Nothobranchius furzeri: one gene and its partners. The protein of the gene in region 4 purifies or fractionates together with the protein of the main gene of each other region. This does not show direct contact. Links are inferred from orthologs where the notes say so. Each region holds a gene or a part of one and is shown on either strand. Other genes may lie near its edges.

Region 1 (3,959 bases), on a different chromosome or scaffold from region 4:
GAAGGGTTTGATCTGAGGGCCAAGGCGCCAACCCTAACCCGACGGAACAAAGCAAAACACACGTGGGCCAGAACATAGAACTCACAGGATCTGAAAACCTCAGCAAAGGTAACCTTCTGGTGCTCTGGTCCATGACCTCCAGCATGCACCTGAGCGCTTCGGCGCTGAGTGACGCAGAGAAAAAGGGAGGGCCGTCTTTGTCTGAGGTGGAGGAGCTCAAACCACCTGTGTCTTGTTCCTGAGTGATGGTAGCACGCTGGAGACTGGAGTAGAACCAGCAACGCTACAGATCTCCCTCATCTCGCCCGATTCGGGTGTCGTCGCTTGGTTGCTGTTGTTTGGTAACTTGTATCTCAGATTTTGGTTTGTGTCACTGAACGCTGCACTGGGGCTCCCTGGGCCATTTAGCACAGCGATACTAAAGCTGCACATAGCCATGACTGAGAGCATCCTATCACCCAGCATGACGGTGTGGTATGGCAGCTGCATCGTCCAGAACAAAAAAGACCTGGCCAGGGTGGTGAAAACTGCTCAGTGGATCGTGGGGGGCCCACTACCAGATCTGGACTCTGGAGTATATACCATCCGACTACAAAGGAAGGCTAACCGTATCGCTGCTGATCCCTTCCATCCAGGTCACAAACTGTTGATGCCGCCACCATCGAGGAAGCGGTACAGGAATATCAAGGCCACAACCACCAGGCTGAGGAACAGCTTCTTCCCTAGAGCTGTTAAAGCCACGTGGTGGTGGTGAGGGACAATCTGAACATCAGTGGACAGGTAGGTGGACACACCAGACTCCACTGCCCTGCGTAGCTCGCGCCACTAAGTCACGAGTCAGATGGGTGGAGGGACAGAAACAGCCTCTGGGGCTTTGAGACGCCGGTGTGCAGCAGGAGGGATGACAGGACAACATGAGACTCACACATCTCTGGACCACATCACTGAGCTGCTCCAGAGCCATCGCTGCTGTCCTCGGATCAGCCGGAAACAGAGAGGCACTTCCGTTTGAAACAAGCTAGGTCCGCGCGAGGCCACCGCGAGCCGGAGCTTCAGTCGGAGACGCGAACAGAGCGGGAAGCTTCTGGAATCACAGCAGATAAAAACATCACACAAACCTTTCCTTCATGACCCAAACAAACCACATTTACATCTCCGATGCAGCGCGCCTTCCGGTTTGACCCCCTCAGCTACCGTAGAAACGTCACAGGTCAAAGGTGAACACAGAAGAAACATGGAGCTGGTGGAGAGCAGGAGGAGGAGAGGAGGCTCCACTAAAACCTCCAGGAAAGGTTGGTTTTTAATCCCAATCCAGAGTTTACCGGAAACAGGACAACGTTTTCACCCTCGTTACGTCCGTTCCGTGTTGATTTTCCGGTCCGGTTCGACCCAGCAGTGGAGCTTGTTCCCGTTCCGCTTTCAGCGGGAAGGTGGAACAGACTCGTTCTCTGTAGAAAAGAACCGAAACAAACCTGTCGCGGATCAGAGCTGCTCCTTCTGTAGTTCATCACCAGGTCCTTCTATAGTTCATCACCAGGTCCTTCTGTAGTTCATCACCCGGTCCTTCTGTAGTTCATCACCCGGTCCTTCTGTAGTTCATCACCCGGTCCTTCTGTAGTTCATCACCAGGTCCTTCTGTAGTTCATCACCAGGTCCAGGTCCTTCTGTAGTTCATCACCACGTCCAGGTCCTTCTGTAGTTCATCACCAGGTCCAGGTCCTTCTGTAGTTCATCACCAGGTCCAGGTCCTTCAGTAGTTCATCACCAGGTCCTTCTGTAGTTCATCACCAGGTCCTTCTGTAGTTCATCACCTGGTCCTTCTGTAGTTCATCACCTGGTCCTTCTGTAGTTCATCACCAGGTCCTTCTGTAGTTCATCACCCGGTCCTTCTGTAGTTCATCACCAGGTCCTTCTGTAGTTCATCACCAGGTCCTTCTGTAGTTCATCACCAGGTCCAGGTCCTTCTGTAGTTCATCACCAGGTCCTTCTGTAGTTCATCACCAGGTCCTTCTGTAGTTCATCACCAGGTCCTTCTGTAGTTCATCACCAGGTCCTTCTGTAGTTCATCACCAGGTCCAGGTCCTTCTGTAGTTCATCACCAGGTCCTTCTGTAGTTCATCACCAGGTCCTTCTGTAGTTCATCACCCGGTCCTTCTGTAGTTCATCACCCGGTCCTTCTGTAGTTCATCACCAGGTCCTTCTGTAGTTCCTCACCCAGTTCTTCTGTAGTTCATCACCAGGTCCAGGTCCTTCTGTAGTTCATCACCAGGTCCAGGTCCTTCTGTAGTTCATCACCAGGTCCTTCTGTAGTTCATCACCAGGTCCTTCTGTAGTTCATCACCTGGTCCTTCTGTAGTTCATCACCTGGTCCTTCTGTAGTTCATCACCAGGTCCTTCTGTAGTTCATCACCCGGTCCTTCTGTAGTTCATCACCAGGTCCTTCTGTAGTTCATCACCAGGTCCTTCTGTAGTTCATCACCAGGTCCAGGTCCTTCTGTAGTTCATCACCAGGTCCTTCTGTAGTTCATCACCAGGTCCTTTTGTAGTTCATCACCTGGTCCTTCTGTAGTTCATCACCAGGTCCTTCTGTAGTTCATCACCCGGTCCTTCTGTAGTTCATCACCAGGTCCTTCTGTAGTTCATCACCAGGTCCAGGTCCTTCTGTAGTTCATCACCAGGTCCTTCTGTAGTTCATCACCCGGTCCTTCTGTAGTTCATCACCAGGTCCTTCTGTAGTTCATCATCAGGTCATTCTGTAGTTCATCACCTGGTCCTTCTGTAGTTCATCACCAGGTCCTTCTGTAGTTCATCACCTGGTCCTTCTGTAGTTCATCACCAGGTCCAGGTCCTTCTGTAGTTCATCACCTGGTCCTTCTGTAGTTCATCACCAGGTCCAGGTCCTTCTGTAGTTCATCACCAGGTCCAGGTCCTTCTGTAGTTCATCACCAGGTCCAGGTCCTTCTGTAGTTCATCACCCGGTCCTTCTGTAGTTCATCACCCGGTCCTTCTGTAGTTCATCACCAGGTCCTTCTGTAGTTCATCACCCGGTCCTTCTGTAGTTCATCACCAGGTCCAGGTCCTTCTGTAGTTCATCACCAGGTCCAGGTCCTTCTGTAGTTCATCACCAGGTCCTTCTGTAGTTCATCACCAGGTCCTTCTGTAGTTCATCACCTGGTCCTTCTGTAGTTCATCACCTGGTCCTTCTGTAGTTCATCACCAGGTCCAGGTCCTTCTGTAGTTCATCACCTGGTCCTTCTGTAGTTCATCACCTGGTCCTTCTGTAGTTCATCACCAGGTCCTTCTGTAGTTCATCACCTGGTCCTTCTGTAGTTCATCACCAGGTCCTTCTGTAGTTCATCACCTGGTCCTTCTGTAGTTCATCACCAGGTCCAGGTCCTTCTGTAGTTCATCACCTGGTCCTTCTGTAGTTCATCACCCGGTCCTTCTGTAGTTCATCACCCGGTCCTTCTGTAGTTCATCACCCGGTCCTTCTGTAGTTCATCACCAGGTCCTTCTGTAGTTCATCACCCGGTCCTTCTGTAGTTCATCACCAGGTCCAGGTCCTTCTGTAGTTCATCACCTGGTCCTTCTGTAGTTCATCACCAGGTCCAGGTCCTTCTGTAGTTCATCACCAGGTCCAGGTCCTTCTGTAGTTCATCACCAGGTCCAGGTCCTTCTGTAGTTCATCACCCGGTCCTTCTGTAGTTCATCACCCGGTCCTTCTGTAGTTCATCACCAGGTCCTTCTGTAGTTCATCACCCGGTCCTTCTGTAGTTCATCACCAGGTCCAGGTCCTTCTGTAGTTCATCACCAGGTCCAGGTCCTTCTGTAGTTCATCACCAGGTCCTTCTGTAGTTCATCACCAGGTCCTTCTGTAGTTCATCACCTGGTCCTTCTGTAGTTCATCACCTGGTCCTTCTGTAGTTCATCACCAGGTCCAGGTCCTTCTGTAGTTCATC
Region 2 (3,262 bases), on a different chromosome or scaffold from region 4:
ACCAGGCCACCCAGATATGTAAACAACCTACGCTACCCGGCCCGGGCCGACCCGGTACAGATGGGAATGGTCCACAAGTGTACTGAAGGCGATAGACAAGCTAATCACTTAAAAACGAAAGCATGACATCTTGGTGTGTGTTTTTCTGTCAGGCTCATGCAGCACCATTTCAGATTTAGCTGATCTTAAGAGGTTTTAAAAACTGAGTACTAAGCCATTAAGGATTCACCTAAATGAAGGTTCTTCGCTTAGATGAAATGAAATACATTTGATTAGTGAGATTTTAATGAGCTTCATGAAGTTGTTGAATTAGACCTTTTGCAAAAGTGATTCTGAACACTAACAGTGAATCATCTCAGCATGTGGGATACATCAGCCACTAATGCTTCTCGCAGTTTGCCTGGGCTATACCTTTAGTAATAATCATTGATGTGCTCCGACTCTGTGCATATTTTTTTCCTCAAGACTGAAAAATCTGTGCAAAATATAAAACAAAAAAACACATTTTGTGAAGGATTGTAATGGAACTTTAGTCATGTTGTGAAAACTGCTGGTCTGCATCGCTCCAGATGTCTGATGTACAACTATGTACGCAATTTATGTGACTGTACACAGGCGCTATTTTACCAATAAAAATCATGAAGTAAACACTTTGTCATGTGGAACATTTATCACAACTGGAAAGTAAATGGTGCAAATAAATACAGAAGAAAAGGAAAACCAGGCCAGAAATCATCTGAACATTTGAAATAACTACAAGTAGAAAACTTTCAGTCTCTCCATCGATGTCCACACTGGGCATTACAGCATTTGTAGAAAGTTGTCATGGGTTCATCAGCAGATCTGGTCTGAATCTGCATGAAATACGCCCGAGGATGCTCACACTTGGGACATTTTTCTGTACAGAGATAGAGAAGGAATATGTCAGCTTAGAGGCCACACCGGTATGTACCATCTTATACCCCAAATACCTCTGGTATGTCCAGGTTTTAGTTTAAGAATGTTAATCTTAAGAAATCACTAATCCTGTTTAAGGATCATGAATTGTTTTAAGGAGATAAATAATAGTTTATTAAGCATCTAGCCAATTCTACTATGACCTAAATAAAGATACAGGATATCAGGATTGTTGAATGGTTTGGCTTGAACAAAAAGAAAAACTGAAAATCCTGGATTAATCCGTTTGTATAATTGAAAATTGGAAGTACACTTTTCTCATTTTAGGCGTTAAAACACTTTAATTACTTAACTAAAACTAAAGAATATGCTAAACATTTGTATGCAGACTCCAGGAAGTCATTTTAATGTTATTTACCTGCAGTTGAATCCACGTTCTCCCACGCAGCAGCCCCACCGAGAACATCATCCACCTCCTTTAATTTGGGATACTTTCGGTTGTTTACCTTCAAGAGAAATAAAACAAGACCTTAAACTTACAAACCTAACGACAAATATTTTGTGTTTCTGACACCAACTAGATGATGAAACCTGGTTTAGTTACGGGTGACTCCTACCTTTCTTGTGATGTTGTGTATGTAAGGACAGGTGTTACACGCGAACCTCATACACTTCTGTCCTTCTTCTACGATCAAAACGTTTCCACAGGTAGGGCAAAAGAGTAGCATTTTAAATGTAATCAATTTGGTCGCAAACCATCAACTAAATGGAATCTAAATGTGATTTCACCAGAAACCATCTGCTGCGTAGAGAAAACCGGAAGTCGACTGATGAAAACAGCTCGAACGGAAACAACCGGAAGTCGCTAATCGTTTAAACAACATGCCTAATTGTATGTAAACAATTCTATATTAAAATGAATGTTATTAATTTATGATAAGAATACGTATTTATCAAATGTTAACGCAGCTGTTCATTTTTATTTTCATCAAGTGGAACCTTTTACATAAGGTCCATTTCCGTTCCGGTAGTTTGTTTGTACTGCACACAGTTACATACGGGCTTTTGCTGTTCTAATTCTTCTTTTTTAGCAGCAGTTTTGAAGTAAACCTGTAATTGTTGTCCAGGTAAATTGTATCCAGACGACGTTTTCTAGCAGGAAACCCGGAAGGTACCCAATAGCTGGATGATTATCGGATGGAGGAGGAGCAGAGTCCAGGTTCTGCTGTAGTCAAAGGAGGTGAAGGAGCGCAACTAGTGCAGGATGAGGAGGTGAAAAAGGAGAGCTTCCTAAACGAGGCAGCTGCTGAGGAGGAGGACGATGAAGATTCTCTCCCTCACTCTGAGATCCTGGATATTTTTGAAGAAGGACTTGCTCGACTTGTGCAGGACCCTTTACTCTGCGACCTGCCAATCCAGGTGTTATTTCTGAGTGCCCTCAGTTACTCTGAAGGAAAACGTGTGTTGTCACCTTTATTTGAGATTCACTCATTGGAGCTGGTCTATTTTATTTTTAAAGTCCAATGACGATTGTAGAAGATATTTGGGCCAGGATTATACTTTTGTAGGATTTAGTAAATCACACTGTTACAATATCGTTGGGTATTGCGATGACGATAACAGTTGTGCTAAATCCTCATTTTCCTCACTCTGTTACCACACATCACTCACCACTGGTGTGTTTTCAGCAATAGCATTAAGGAGATTCAGTCACATGAACATGTCCCCATCTACTGTGAATCAAGCTGTTTTTGTGTGCCACTGAAGCAGTCACAGTGATGATGTTTTGTGATACATTGTGCAGCTTTTGTTACTTTAGTCAAAAGTTTGGACACACACCTCACCTGCAATTTCCAAACAGTCTATTTAGATACCTATTAAAACTCAAATGGATCCCATTTGCACTACAAAGTGTTTATGAATCAATTTGCAAGCTTCCAATGGAGTAAAAACAGCAGATCACTGCATATTACAGTTTTTATTAGAGCAAAGACAAAATTATCTCCCCAAAGTCCTTGCTGATGTCTCTTCTTGCTTGTATGTTAAAGCTGTGTGATTTGTACTCTGTCCTAATATTGGTTACACAAGAGGACAGCAGTAGAAGTATTAGCTCACGTCTACCTTGTGCATTTTGTTAGGTCAATAAAGTATATTCAAAATATTTCACTGTATTTTGCTCAACTTGTCAAAGTATTTCCAAATTTAAGACCAGCAATAAATCTTCATAATCTAACAGCAAGTCCTCTCAGGGTTGTGAGCTTTTCTAGATGATGATGGTCTGATGTGTGCAGAGAAATGGTAATCGGTGGCGTCAATTTTAATGTTTTTTTTTTCTGTACCATCAGGTCACACTGGAAGAAGTAAA
Region 3 (4,240 bases), on a different chromosome or scaffold from region 4:
GAGCCGGCTCTTTTTGGTGAGCTGAGCCAAAAGAACCGGCTCTCTAAAAAGAGCTGGAACTTCCATCACTAGTACCAGCTGAGGGTACCTCTTAGCCAATAGCGATGGCAGGTTTAAATTCAAATGCAGTGAAGAGTTTTTACCTGACAACGGTACTACACTGACAGTTTTAGGCAGAAAATTTAAATTTGAACTAAAATGCACTAAAGTGCAAAACTATTGACTACACGTGTCTGCAGCACGATTAGGCATGCATTTATATAGTTTATCAGCAAATAAAGCTGATTTGGGGGTGACTTGCTCTTTAAGAATTATTGGTAAAAATCAAAAACAAAAGACAGGATGCATTTTAGATGTTGCTTTTGTGTTTTCAGCTCTTTTGTATTTTTACTCCAAATTTGAATTTATTTAATTTAAATCTGCTAAATAAATCCTCTAAAACATTAATGTAACTAACATTTTTTATTCACCTGTTTTCCTTATTTAATTCCTAATTAATTTGGTGACTTGTTTGAATAACTTTGATTAAATATTTGATTTTATTGCAGTTTAGTACAAAAATAAGACTCAACAGGGTCAGGAATGTTGAGCATCAGCTGCGCTTTAGCAGGCAGGTGGGAAAAAAATTAAAATCAAGATGTTGGCAACAGAAAAACCCACATTGGATGATTTCCACTGCAGAAGTCATCCATATTTGTGGACAAGTTCAGGCTGTTGCTGAGGTGAACACCCATTTTTGTGCTCCTCTGCTGTTTTAGTGCACGCGTGTGTGTGTGTGTGTGTGTGTGTGTGTGTGTGTGTGTGTACCTTGCTCTGGAGGAATTTGAAGCACTGCTGGTTCAGAACTTCCACAAACTCTGACTCAAAGTCCTGGTCACTGTACCAGGCCCCACCTGTTACTGAGCGGTCTGGCTGCAGGTTGTACAGCATGTAAACCTTCTTCTTTGATGCCTACACACACACACACACACACACACACACACACACACACACACACACACACACACACACACACACACACACACACACACACACACACACACACACACACACACACACACTTTGATCACTAGTTAGAAAGCAATGCTCTGGTTTATGAACCGGCTACGTTTTTGTTCCGACAGCACTCACCGCCACAGACTTGACAGCTTTTATGAGTTTTTTGCTCTCGAGGTTCTTCAGGATCTTGTTGATCTCGGTCAGAGGGAGGTTGCTCTTAAAGCGGATGTCTCTGCTCCAGATTCCTGCAGCCACATTACACAGCCGTGATGTTCTAATCCGTTAGTGGTGAGCTGCATGTTTCTAGACATAAATAGGTTGGTACCTTTGTTTCCTGCATCTTCAATCACCTGATAGACCAGCTTCTCCTGGCTGTCTGAGCCTTTCATCTTACTGAAGCACAGAAAGGCGTTTCAGAGAGGCAGAACCAAACCACACAGGGGCCAGCGAGCAGATCTCAGGTCTTACCTGGACATCTGAGAGTCCTTTAGTCTGTACAGGAGACCTGAACTGTTCCTGAGAAGGTCCAGGTGACCCTATAATAGAATAGAACACCAGTTCAGATCATCCATCAGCATCACAGAGACCGACATGGGTCAGGTCCTCGAACCCACCAGGGCCAGCAGCTTGTTAATGGCCATGGCTCTCTGCTGAGGCTCCAGGTGAGGCATGTCGTTCTGGATCACCTGGTCTGTGATACCTTGAGGAAACTGCTGACACAGATCTTTGATCCTGGGTCACAGAAACAAGTTTAAACACATCAGAACGTCTTTTCACGTATGATTAACTTTTGTTTTTAAAGCAGTTTTCGCTTCAATCAGCTGCCTCCAATTCTCCTCTTATTTGCAACAAACTTATGTTTTATTTAACATGTATGAAAGCAATGCCTCTGTCCGTGTGCAAGACAGCAAACAGGTGTAACAGAACGATGGTGCAAATCTGGCAGCCACGTTGAAGACATGAAGTCTACTTTGGGACTTTCTTTTGACAAATAAACGAGTGAAGTGAATGCCGAAGTCTGAGTGAGCCTGTTCCCGTCCCGAAAACGGGTCCAAACTCAACTTGTCACCGATATGTGAGAGATTGTGGATGAGAAACGTTCAAATCGACCGAATGGACACAGAATCCGGTCCGTTCCAACCTGCTCTCCACCTCCGCGGGTTCCGTCTGGTTCATCTCCTTCTTCACCTTCACCTCCGCCATTCTGAACCGGTCGTGTGGCTCGTGTCCGAGCAGCGGCTCCGTTAAGGCGGTGATTCTGGTCCGCCACAATCAATCTCAGAGCAGGCGGTATCAAGATTGCCCTGGAGGGGTCCTTACAGATGTTTACCCAGCGGTAGGTGTCCGGAAAACTGCCCGTTCAAAAATAAATTAATTGAGATTCAGTTGAGCGGTTAAGTGAAAGACAAAAAAAATCTTATTTTAATCCTCAAAATTACTTCTCATTTTTTAATGTTTTTCAATTGAACCCACTTTTTATATTATTTTTACAATTTAAATAAAACGAGTTACTGAAACACCAGTGCCTACATTCAAATAAATCCAAGCGGAGAAAATTTCTCTAAACATTCATGAGATGCTAGTCCTGTCATTTCTAGGAACTTCTAAAGAGTGAACTTGTAGAAAGTTTCGCGGCAGCCCCGAGGGGCAGGCACTTGTGCTTACTCGTTCGTCTCAGACAGACTCTGTTGCCATGGTGACGTTGTATAAACGCTGCAGTTCTCAGAAGTGTCTCATCTCCCAGCCAGCTCGATGCGTCTGTATTCTTGAGCTCATAACCGTAAAAACGGTTCCGCTACACAACAAGAACTGTGCGGTACGGGAGCGGTAAACCGGTAGCCAGCGGAGGGCGCTGTCTAATGGCTGACAGCTGATTAATATCAGTGTTGAGACGTTATAACCTCTTATTTAGTACATTAGATTGCTATCCTGTTTTTTCAGATATCATCACGTCTCAGTGAGTTGTGACGGTCTAGCTGGACGTTTGTGAGCAGCACTTTTAAAACAAGGACTCAAAAAACTCAAGTTTTCTTTTCTGCTTTAACTGAAGAAGAAGAAACCCTGATCTCCTGATTTGTTGATATCCGTTACCATGGCAGCAGGAGCTGTTTTACCTCCACTTATCATTCCCATCATCTACCTGCCAACTCATCGAGCCAAGAAGCACATCGATACCACAACACCTGTCTCCATCCAGTCAGGTACCCCCCCCCCCCCCCCCCCCCACACACACACACACACACACACACACACACCACACACTTCTGTCCTCCATTCATCTATCTATCCATCCATTCATATTCTTTTGTTAATTTCACAACACACACACACAGCATGGATCTAGCTGGTTCCAGCTTTTTCTAGCAAGCTCTATCCGGTTCTAGCTGGATACAGGACGGATCTTCTGTGTTGCAGCAGATCTGAAGAAACTTCTGACTGAAGATACTTTGTGGTTGAATTATTGTCTTGCGACGAGGCTGATCGGGGTTTCTGCTAAATTTGCCACCTTGCAGCGCTGATCTAAACAACAGTTTGTGCGTGCAGACTCTGCAGGTGTGCTGATCTTCTATACGTTGGATGGGTCGAAGCCAGAGCTGGGGCAGAGAGGGGCAGCTGGCAGCAGCAGGAAGTACACAGAGCCCATCCTGCTACCTGCTGGTCGGGTGTCTGTCAAAGCTGTGGCTGTCACCAGGTAAACACTCACCTGATAACGAGTGACAGGAATAAAAGTAGCACTGCATCACTTCCTGTTTATCAGACCATAACTGTGTTTGATACAGTGATGGCAGACAGAGCTCTGTGGTGACCAAGGTCTTCTCAGTGGTTCAACTGGATTCAGGCAGCACTGTGGAGAACCAGAATAGTCTGCAGAACCACTTGAAGGTAAACACTCACCCGCTGCTCTGCATATTCCATAAACCCGTCCTCTATTTGTATGAAACTATCTGCCCTTGCTCATTCCTTCATTGTTCTGTTACTTCAGCCTGATGGAACTTGTGATTCTGCTGAGAAATCACTTGGTTCTCCACAAAGATCTGTAGGTAAGTACGAAAAGGTCCACTAGTACACACCTGCACCCAAACCAGGTTTAATCCATCCATCCATCCTAGTCTAATTTATTATTCATTCATTTTCTGAACTTCTTGCATCTGAGTGGAGTCTTGGGGACACACGGAGACAGATACCCAGCCACACGCTCACTCACACCTACGGTACAGGCCAAAGCTTTGGACACACCTTC
Region 4 (3,709 bases):
ACCGCAGCAATTTCCTAATGTTGTGACTTGGCACACATATGGCAATAAAACCTTCTGATTCTGATTCTAAAAAGCTGGTCCTTTGTATGTATGTATTTATTTATTTATTTATTTATTTATTTATTTATTTCACTTTGGTGGAAACCGGCCCTGTTAAATGAGGGAAATTGCAGTGTACCACAGTGACCATCAGGTGGCAGCCTTGTGGTGTGTCACCTTTTAAAATAGGCGCGTCATGAATGTTTGGGTGACGTTCTGACAGACACGTTAGCTCTACGTGAGATGATTTATGTTGTTTGTGCAGATAATAAGCTTAAGACCACGTTCGTTAGCCATGACATACAACCAAATAGAGGGCCAAAAGTACATAAAAAATTTATATCATTAATTGAATGTGTCATTAGTTGGTTGAAATATGAAATAATTATGTATATATGATTTTAATGAATGTGCTATAAATAAAAACATTTATTTGATGTAAAAATTACAGATAATCATTAAACTGTACAATTTTAGTAATTATTACATGGCGGAGCTGGCAGTGAAGTCGAAATGGTCCTCTCTCCAGGATCTCAGTCAGGTCCACCGGTAGAACCCCATGGAAATCCCTGGCCAGTAGACATGATGATTCCTCCAACATGTCCTGGATCGAGCTGGGGGCCTCCTACAGGCAAGACATGCCTGGAACACTTCTCCTGGGAAGCGACCGGAAGAATTCTCATTAATTCATCGCTGGATTCAGCCCCAGTCTTCTCTAGTCAATAAACAGGCCTTGGATTTGGAGGAGTCGGTGTGCATTTTAGGATTTAAAACAAAATAATTAAAAATTTTCATCCATGGCCCATTTAACAATTTATGTATGTAATGATTTATTCGTGAAATAATTTGGCATTAATTTGATTAATTGCACATATAAATAATATTTTTTTACGTGTCAAATTCCTTAAATCTTTAGCACTTGATTATAACAATTCATTAAAGAAAGTGAGGAGAGAGAGAGAATGGGGATTATTCAGCCTTTATTTAACCTACAGTTGGTAGAATTTACAGATCAAACTAAATGGAAAATGACTTAACTCCAGAAGGTGGCAGTGTTGCAACGGTAAACCTTGTTGATGCTTCTGAAACATCAAAAAAAAAAAAAAAAAAAAAAAAAGACAGACCGGAAAGGGAACTCTAACGAGGTTCTTTTGGCCGACCGGAATGTTTAGTAGCGTACCAGCCAGTGCAACGTTCATGTGGATTCGTGTTGGTTACAAAAGTGTAGCCTAGAAACGTTAAAATATTTTACACGGATATATACTACTCTAAAAATTTATCATGTCGGACAACGAAGACAAGTAAGTAAAGAAATCGTTTAAATAATCTGCGTCATTTTGTATAATCGACGTAAGCTAACGGGGATGCTAACTCGATTAGCATCACACGGTATTGTTTATTATGATCCTTGCCTATTCTGTGTATTGCTGCTTACGTCCTGTTTTATTCAGTCTCCCATCCAAGTTTACGTACTTTTGTACTTTTTCAATAAAGCTTGTTAAAAGTTATGAATCACCTAAAGTTTAAGATATCTGATCAAAGGTTTTAACTCCGTAGCTTCGATGATGGAGATTTTGATTATGCAGAGGAGGACGAAGGACTAGACGACCTGGAGAACGTCGAAGATGTGAGTTATTACAGAGACGGATCACCACTTGAGACTTTTATGAAGCTGTCTCCTGGTCTGAGCTTGTTTGTTTTGCTCTGGTGAATAGGAGGATCAGGAGAATGTGCAGATCCTACCTGCAGGAGAAGGCCAGCAGGCCAACCAGAAGAGGATCACCACACCGTATATGACGAAATACGAGCGGGCCAGAGTGCTAGGGACCAGAGCCTTGCAGATAGCGTGAGTGTGTTTACATGAGATCACGGTTAAAGCTGAGTGTGTTTGATCTTTAACTCGTTAAACACATTTTCACTGAGAGTAGGTTTCCTCCCTAAACTTAGTATTTAGAGATGTTCAGTGAAATTAGCTGGGCTCATTTCGGGATTTATGTCAGTAAAAGTTTCGTTTTTCCAAAAGACATTTAACCCTCCCATTGTCCTGATGGGTGTGACCCCGCGAGGAAAGTTGACCATTGAGCAGGGATGATGGTTTATCCCTTGGGTCCATGTGGCAGGGGTGAGAAGTGAGCACCACCTCACCCCTGCCATGTAGACATCAAGGGATAAACCATCCATCCTGCTCAGTGGTCAACTTTCCTGGCGGGGTCACCCATGAAGACAGTGGGAGGGTTAAGTAAAAACTTAAATATGCTAAATAGCGCATTAACACCTAGTATCAACAGAAGGTTATTTAGGTAAATCAGTAAAATCAACTCCTGATTCTGTTTTTGTCTTGAGTTTGGGCTCTCTGAATTCCCACCAGCAGAAATTCCTGGAAACAGGCGGCTGCTTGTGTAAATGCCTCATCTGCTTTCAAAATAAAAGCATGCCAAAGCCCATTTTAAAGCTAAAAGTAGCGTTTGAATCTACATGCAGAATTATTTGTATTTAATTTCCAATGCTGGCTGGATGGCTGCAACTAATGAGTCACTTTTTTCCCAGCTTTAGAGAAATTAGCCCACTATAAACCCCATATTCCCATGTTGCATCAGTCTGCCTGAATAAAAGTGTTTTTCCTGTGCTGGCTTGATTCCAACAGGATGTGTGCTCCTGTCATGGTGGAGCTGGAGGGAGAGACTGACCCTCTGCAGATCGCTATGAAAGAACTTAAGTAAGTCACTTTGACAAGCACCAACTTTTGGCTTTGGTTTTATTTAACGAACAACTTTTTACTTCACTCATCTTTTCTTCTCTTTCTCCAAAAGGGGCAGAAAGATCCCCATCATCATCCGCAGGTACCTTCCTGATGGGAGTTACGAGGACTGGGGCTGTGATGAGCTCATCATAACTGATTAAACATCCTAACCAGCATCACACATCATCATCTCTGGACTTTTAGAGACTCACTAACTTTTACAGAGTTGTACGTTTGCCTGCTGGGATCCGTTTATGAATATGTTGTTTTAATTTCTTTTCACCATTTTAACATCTACTTGAGGAGGAGAGACGAGAACCTTTAGTTAAATACTTTTTATGCATCCGTGAGGAGTCTAAACGGCTTGTTTTGTTTTTCGGAAGAGACGGTGTAAATGAATGTTTTATTGTTAATAAAGTCATTTCTAGAAGCTGCTGTGATGGATTTATGTACAAATCTCTGGTTTAAAACAGAAATGTGTTGCTGCGGTTGTTTCATTTAGAAAATTAAATGTCACCCCTTCTTTCCACAGGAGCCGTCAGCAGCGCGTCATAGCTGCTGATAGGAACCGCTGTGGTCAACAGAACCTTTTCCACCGGAGCCGTCAGCAGCGCGAGTCGGCCGCTTCTCAGGAGCAGCATGTCGCGGCCTTTACGCGCCGGTTCTATTTTCTACACGCGACGCCTCTGAAACGGGTCAAGTTCGACATTTTTGGGGAAGGAAAGACAGGAAATCGGACGCGGAAATGGAGAGAAGCTCCCGAGATTTTCAGAATAAAGAACGTACTGCCTTCCGGTTGCTTTACTTTTAAAAAAAGTTACTAACTGTGCGGCCCCGTGAGAAGTTATCACCTAGCTAGCGGTCTCCTTTGTTTTTCAGGTCCGTATTGGCGATTCTAAAATGGACAGAACATAAAACACAAACCTTTTG

What was found. The genes of interacting proteins can lie anywhere in the genome.
Region 1: the proteins of polr2f (region 4) and rpap2 purify together in Homo sapiens (affinity purification with mass spectrometry; 4 studies listed by BioGRID and IntAct, with this or other methods). This does not show direct contact. The link is inferred for Nothobranchius furzeri from reciprocal best matches to the Homo sapiens genes POLR2F and RPAP2.
Region 2: the proteins of polr2f (region 4) and polr3k purify together in Homo sapiens (affinity purification with mass spectrometry; 5 studies listed by BioGRID and IntAct, with this or other methods). This does not show direct contact. The link is inferred for Nothobranchius furzeri from reciprocal best matches to the Homo sapiens genes POLR2F and POLR3K.
Region 3: the proteins of polr2f (region 4) and polr3f purify together in Homo sapiens (affinity purification with mass spectrometry; 4 studies listed by BioGRID and IntAct, with this or other methods). This does not show direct contact. The link is inferred for Nothobranchius furzeri from reciprocal best matches to the Homo sapiens genes POLR2F and POLR3F.

The regions. Positions count from the first base shown.
Region 1 is NC_091751.1:71,621,142-71,625,100, forward strand, and holds the start of rpap2 (putative RNA polymerase II subunit B1 CTD phosphatase rpap2), read left to right. Parts: upstream 1-1,159; 5' UTR 1,160-1,234; coding exon 1,235-1,292; exon of another isoform or gene 1,293-1,325; intron 1,326-3,959. Other genes in the region: glmna (glomulin, FKBP associated protein a), read right to left, coding at 926-964.
Region 2 is NC_091745.1:3,876,687-3,879,948, forward strand, and holds polr3k (DNA-directed RNA polymerase III subunit RPC10), read right to left. Parts: upstream 1,769-3,262; 5' UTR 1,626-1,768; coding exon 1,515-1,625; intron 1,404-1,514; coding exon 1,316-1,403; intron 899-1,315; coding exon 771-898; 3' UTR 501-770; downstream 1-500. Other genes in the region: snrnp25 (U11/U12 small nuclear ribonucleoprotein 25 kDa protein), read left to right, coding at 2,095-2,316, 3,243-3,262. UniProt on the Homo sapiens protein: Core component of RNA polymerase III (Pol III) which synthesizes small non-coding RNAs using the four ribonucleoside triphosphates as substrates. Can mediate Pol I proofreading of the nascent RNA transcript.
Region 3 is NC_091746.1:29,575,664-29,579,903, forward strand, and holds the start of polr3f (DNA-directed RNA polymerase III subunit RPC6), read right to left. Parts: upstream 2,801-4,240; 5' UTR 2,665-2,800; intron 2,352-2,664; 5' UTR 2,203-2,351; coding exon 2,141-2,202; intron 1,732-2,140; coding exon 1,614-1,731; intron 1,536-1,613; coding exon 1,468-1,535; intron 1,393-1,467; coding exon 1,325-1,392; intron 1,245-1,324; coding exon 1,132-1,244; intron 952-1,131; coding exon 808-951; intron 1-807. Other genes in the region: dzank1 (double zinc ribbon and ankyrin repeat-containing protein 1), read left to right, coding at 3,092-3,200, 3,544-3,691, 3,780-3,882, 3,983-4,040. UniProt on the Homo sapiens protein: DNA-dependent RNA polymerase catalyzes the transcription of DNA into RNA using the four ribonucleoside triphosphates as substrates.
Region 4 is NC_091752.1:66,414,096-66,417,804, reverse strand, and holds polr2f (DNA-directed RNA polymerases I, II, and III subunit RPABC2), read left to right. Parts: upstream 1-1,184; 5' UTR 1,185-1,320; coding exon 1,321-1,340; intron 1,341-1,596; coding exon 1,597-1,666; intron 1,667-1,754; coding exon 1,755-1,885; intron 1,886-2,683; coding exon 2,684-2,755; intron 2,756-2,849; coding exon 2,850-2,940; 3' UTR 2,941-3,209; downstream 3,210-3,709. UniProt on the Homo sapiens protein: DNA-dependent RNA polymerase catalyzes the transcription of DNA into RNA using the four ribonucleoside triphosphates as substrates.